Kluyveromyces lactis: one gene and its partner. The protein of the gene in region 1 purifies or fractionates together with the protein of each later gene. This does not show direct contact. Links are inferred from orthologs where the notes say so. Each region holds a gene or a part of one and is shown on either strand. Other genes may lie near its edges. The genes, in order: KTR3 and SVP26.

What was found.
Region 2: the proteins of KTR3 (region 1) and SVP26 purify together in Saccharomyces cerevisiae (affinity purification with western blotting; 5 studies listed by BioGRID). This does not show direct contact. The link is inferred for Kluyveromyces lactis from reciprocal best matches to the Saccharomyces cerevisiae genes KTR3 and SVP26.

Annotation. Positions count from the first base shown.
Region 1 is NC_006041.1:2,047,137-2,050,348, reverse strand, and holds KTR3 (mannosyltransferase KTR3), read left to right. Parts: upstream 1-1,203; coding exon 1,204-2,436; downstream 2,437-3,212. Other genes in the region: SAY1 (steryl deacetylase), read left to right, coding at 1-630. UniProt on the Saccharomyces cerevisiae protein: Possible glycosyltransferase that transfers an alpha-D-mannosyl residue from GDP-mannose into lipid-linked oligosaccharide, forming an alpha-(1->2)-D-mannosyl-D-mannose linkage.
Region 2 is NC_006037.1:809,301-812,299, forward strand, and holds SVP26 (Svp26p), read left to right. Parts: upstream 1-1,666; coding exon 1,667-2,347; downstream 2,348-2,999. Other genes in the region: STB5 (Stb5p), read left to right, coding at 1-1,019; RGD3 (Rgd3p), read left to right, coding at 2,560-2,999. UniProt on the Saccharomyces cerevisiae protein: Plays a role in retention of a subset of membrane proteins in the early Golgi compartments. Facilitates endoplasmic reticulum to Golgi transport of mannosyltransferases MNN2 and MNN5.

The DNA of each region.
Region 1 (3,212 bases):
GGCAAAAAATTGGACGATGATGTTGCCATACTAGTATTAGATTACCCTGTAATGGCGAATTGCCCTGAGACGATTGACTATGTGTGGAAAGAGTACCTTGAGCTTACAGAGACGTTTACGGAAATAAATCTGATTGGCGATTCGTGCGGAGGAAATTTGATCTTAAACATCTTGTTGAAATGTCACGAAAATAAAATGACAATTCCAAAGCGCGCCATTGCAATATCTCCATGGTGCAACGTCTTAGACCGAGACTCTGTAGACGTTGAAAGGTTAAACGGCTACAACGTAGATATGCTATCGATGAAAGTTTTAACGGTTTTCCAAAATTCTTACATGCAAAACGTAGTTGATCCCAGTCAATACCTAAAGTATTTGAATTTCACATCGATTCCAAGGGAGACTTGGACTGAAATTCTCAGCGACACTAAATTGTTCATCACATATGGTGATCTAGAAATGTTCAAGAATCAAATCGAACTGTTCATCAACCACATCAGTCCCAATGAAAACTTGATTGCGGAAATTTTTCCGTGTGGGTCCCACATCGAGCCTTTAGTGCTAGGTTATCACCAGTCTTTGGATAAGTGGGCCAAATTTCTCAGTAAATCCGATGAAACGTCATTTTGACACATTAATGCGAGCCGTGAACTCTTTTAATTTATAATTCGCATATACAGAGGTGTACTTTTAAAAAATAAAAACAGGAGCTAAACAGTGAATTGGGACCGGATTCGGAATGTCCATTAGAAGCTCGAAATAAAACATAGTAGTTTCACTGTAAGAATCTATCTTCATTCCAGCTTTTCTCCACACTTTCGACGCTCTTTTTCCTTCTAGGTGTCGCTCTTCTTGATTTTTCACCGATGAAAAAAAAGTTTACAGAAGTATGTAAATAACACCTAATCCACACCTGTTCTAAGGATGTGTGTCATACAATTTAACGTGTTTCAAGTGTCTATTTACATCCTGAAGTCCCTTAAGCGGTTTCATTGCTACTTTATTCTGGGTTGTTAGAATATAGTTATTCAAGACGTTGAGATATACGTGGATATCATCTTTTAAAAACTTTGTTTCCATTCATATTTATTCCAAGTTTTGATTTGATTTGATTTAAGATATTCCGATTCACATTGTCTTGTACCTGTCACTGAATCAAAGAAAGGTAAGCACGGATCAAAGGTTAATCGAATTCAGTAAAAGATGCAGCCGAAGAAAAAGCTCATGCCAAAATCGGCATTTCTTGTGAAGAAATATGAGCGTCATATTAGATTGCTGTTCATTGCATTCATCACGGTTTTATGTTTCGTGTTCATTACACGTTCTGGTAATGGTAGCAGCGAAACGCCAGTGCTTCCACCAAAGACTGTCGAACCAGCAGTGTCGAGTCCTGGTGGTGCAAAAGATAAGTTCCTGAAGCCTCATACTGATAAGGTTCAGAACGTTTTTTACCCAGAAGATGATGGTGTTAGAGAAAAGGCCTGTATGGTCACCTTAGCAAGAAACAAAGATTTATGGCATTTGGTTACATCTGTGAGGGATGTTGAAGATAGATTCAACAAGAACTATCATTACGATTGGGTCTTTTTGAACGATGAACCGTTCAACGAGGAATTCAAAAGTGTTATGACAGCAATGGTCAGTGGTACCGCTAAATTTGGTGTGATTCCAAAGGAACACTGGTCCTTCCCAGACTGGATTGACCAGGATAAGGCGGCAGAAGTCAGAAAACAGATGAAAGAAGACGGTATCATTTACGGTGACTCCGTCTCTTACAGACATATGTGTAGATACGAATCCGGATTCTTCTGGAGACACGAGTTACTTGACGAGTATGAATGGTATTGGCGTGTGGAACCAGATATCAAGTTGTTCTGTGATATTCACTACGATGTTTTTAAGTTAATGAAGCAAAACAACAAGAAGTACGGGTTCATCTTATCCGTTAGCGAATACGAAAAAACGATTCCTACTTTATGGGAAACCACCAAAAATTTCATGAAGGAATACCCACAACACGTCAAGGAAAATAATTTGATGAAGTTTATCTCCAACGATGGTGGTAAGACTTATAACATGTGTCACTTCTGGTCTAACTTCGAAATCGCATCGCTAGAATTATGGAGATCCCCTGCCTACCGTGAGTACTTCGACTACTTGGACCGTTCCGGTGGGTTCTTCTACGAGAGATGGGGTGATGCTCCGATTCATTCCATTGCCGCTGCACTTTTCTTAGAACCAGAAGAATTCCATTTCTTCGACGGCATAGGATACTACCATCCAGGATTCACTTCATGTCCTGTGGAAGAAGCTATCAGATTACAAAACAGATGTACATGTGACCCAGGCGATGACCAAACTTGGGGTGACAGTTATTTCTGCACAAGAAAATACTTCGGTGCCCGTGGTTTGAAACTACCAAAGGAGGTCAGGTAATTCAATTGTACTAAAAAACAACCTGAAGACTAAACATTCTCCTGACACATTATATACTAACCTAAAAACAAAAGTTGATTTTAGAGGGCAACATTTGATACATATATAGAAACGTCTCCCATCTTCAATTCTATGCAATAGGCATGCACATACACAACATAAAAAAGAGTTAGCAGAGGTTAGTTGTCCAAAATCCGCGTATGTATGTATATGTACAAATATCTACTTGAACTATGCTTTCTGTACCTTACGTTTATTAGGTCCGAACCAGTTTCATTATGTCGTCATCACCAGATGAACCCTCGAAAAACATGCAAATCGTTTAACCACTTATCTAGTGTAGGCATAGTCAGAATCGACTACAAAGCCGTTTCACTACTGCGCTCCTCGCAATTCCTATCACCTACGACAGGTCTTCCTTCAAACTCACAATCATGTGACTAATCTCTTCTTTGCTTTCTTACTCGCGCATAGTTAGTTAATCCGCGAATGACGGGAATTTAAATATAGATAGACTGAAAAGAAGGTTTGCTTGAAACACCTTACACAGACAACATAAGTATTGTCTCGAAAGTAAAGTTTGTGGAAGAGACCCAGAGCTAAGGCGCCGAAGACCCAATAGGTTTATTGTAAAAGTGTGTTGAAAACATATTTCGCAGCAAGGAACGAAGACCTAGATTTTAAAACATCCGTTCGGGGATAGTTTTATCTTTTTTTTTATTTATTCACTTTGTTTGATTTGTATTTTCCTTCCATCCTTTCCATCCTTTTAATTC
Region 2 (2,999 bases), on another chromosome or scaffold:
AGACAATCAAGTGCTTATTACTATTGGGTATATATTCATTCTTCGAACCGAAGGGTGTTTCCTCTTGGACCATCAGTGGATTGATAATGAGACTATGCATTGGATTTGGTTTGAACCGTGCATTAACACCTAAGAAATTGAAAACGATGTCAGTTATTGATGTAGAGATGAGATACAGAGCTTTTTGGGCATTCTATTCGTTCGAACGTCTAGTTGCGACATCCTTGGGTAGAATATCCTGCCTATCCGACGATGATATTAGCGTTCCACCACCAAGAGCTTTATTTGAAGAAGAGAAGGACGATATAGAAGTCACCAACATGATGATAAGTTTAAGAAGAATCGGAGGGCGCATTTACAGGAAAGTGCATAGCGTCGGAGCTGCAAGAAGAAAGCTTAATGCAGAAGAAAAGAAAAATGTGATAGATAAGTTACGCCAGGAATTGGATGAGTTGTACAAATTAGAGACTTTTAAGATTCACAGCGCCAAACAAGAAACAAACAATATAACGTTCCACCATTCAGATACATGGCTCTCCATGAGGTATTACCAACTACAGATCATGATTTATAGACCAAGTGCTTTGATACCAAAACCCGCGATGGATTCTCTAACTATTCTGGGGGATGCATGTCTCAAATCCTTGAAATACACCTATAACTTATACCAGAAAAAGTTATTACCGTTAAATTGGATCACTTTGTTCCGTGTACTCACTATATGCAACACTATGCTCTATTGCTTATGCCAATGGTCCATCGATATCATTGAATCCAAGATCGAAATACACCAATGTATTGAAGTGCTTCGACACTTTGGTGCCAAATGGGTATTTGCAGCCAAATGCGCTGAAATTTTTTCAAGCATCATCAATACGATCTTGGATATCAGTTTGTCCAACGGTAGAGTACCCAACATGGATAAATTGACCAGAGAACTATTTGGCGCCAGTAACGAATACCAAGAGATCTTGGATGAGAATAATGTCGATATTTCTTGGGTGGATAGTATCGTCTGAGGGGTGGTACGGTGGTATATAAAGATATAATAAAAAAGTGTGTATCTGATTAATGAATGTATTGATGTAAGTTTGCCATTGTGGTGGTAAAAGCAGAGAAAGCAGCAAAGAGCAGTATATGGTTAGTGAGCATGTGTGGTCTAATGATGCCATGATATATGGAGCACTTACATTTTAACCGCCTGTAAAGATGCCTCCTTAGCTTAGTGGTAGAGCGTTGCACTTGTAATGCAAAGGTCGCTAGTTCAATTCTGGCAGGTGGCATTTATCTTTTTTATTACTATAATTTAATCAATTATAACTATAATTCCTCACTGTACAAGAAACGCACTCAATTTTTTGAGTATTCACTACGCTAAACAACACATTACCTGCCCATTGGATACTGTGACCCCACTAACCACTCCTTCAGGCCAGCCACTTAGCTTAGAACTGTGCCACTCCTCTCTTTATTCTAAGACTAACACATGATCGCTGTATCCGGGTAAGACGTCTTTTCTCAACTTTCTACTAACAAAAAACCAAGATTCAATTTGAGCAACGGTACTAAACATGTAGGATACGACACATTTGGGGAAATTACAGGTCTATATATCTGTATAGTGGTCCCATAGAAGGTCAATTAAGCCGCTGGTTCAAATCTGAAAATGATCATTCAACTTTTATCCTATGCGGGTACCGTCCTGGGGTTTATTTTCCTGACGTTATCCACAGCATCAGGATTGTATTATCTCAGTGAGTTAGTGGAAGAATACACTGAACCCACAAGAAGGTTGCTATATCGAGCAATATACACTATAATCGGAATTTACGTGCTACTTCTATTATTCGATGGATTCCCATGGCTGCTAACGGCTTTTTCTATCTTTACCTACGTGGTATATCTACAGAATATGAAACATTTCCCATATATCTCGTTGACGAACCCTACGTTAATGTTGAGTTGCGTACTAGTTCTTATAAATCATTACTTGTGGTTTAAATACTTCAATGATGTTGATATCCCACCTCAATTCAGGTTTGACCCTAACTATGTGCCAAGAAGACGTGCGTCTTTCGCGGAAGTGGCATCATTCTTTGGAATTTGTGTATGGTTTATTCCATTTGCATTGTTCGTGTCGTTATCCGCTGGAGAAAATGTGCTACCTACACACATTGAAAGGAAAAAGAACGAGGATGGCGATGGTGCCGAGAGTTCTAGAGGTGTGAGAAGAAGAGCTAAGGGTTTAGCCAAGATCGTCATCGATTACATTAGAGAATACTTCTATTCCATAGGCAAACTATTTGGATTGAAGGATAGCAAGAAAGATGAAGGGTTGTTGCTTTGATAATATATATACACGTGTAATAAACCGTACATACTTGCATTCATAGTAGATGCATGGCAATGCCCTGATGTGTTGTCAATCTATTGAAATCTTTCAAGAGTATTCGCTGAAAAAAGTCGATGACTTGCTTATTTAAGATACATTGGATACTATTTACGAAACACGAACAACATTCCTCTCTGTAAGTGGTAGGCATCCCACACACCAAAGTAATGGATTTAAGGTACACTTTTTGGAGCCCCGTAAGCACCGTGAGTGTTAATTCGTTATACGATGCGATTACACAAGATATACAATCGATAATGCGGCTTTCACAGTTCTTGAATCATTTGAATAATGTGTGGAACGCATCGCTGCTGTCGATGAAAAAGGCACCAGACCCTAAAGTAACTATAGTGGGGGAACAAGTGGTTGAGAAGATTACTGAGAGTTTGAAGTCGTACAAGGTTGATACCACAAGTTTAGATCACTTGCTGAAACGGTATGAATCTTTACTAGGACAATGTAAAGAGAATAAGGGGAGGGATGCAAGCCTGATCAAGGAATTGAAACAATGGAAAACGTTGAAATTAGAGATTCAAGACCAATCAGTGGTATATGACAAGGATAAAGATGACCATCATTGCCCTGTTGCTGGAGGAATACTGCAATT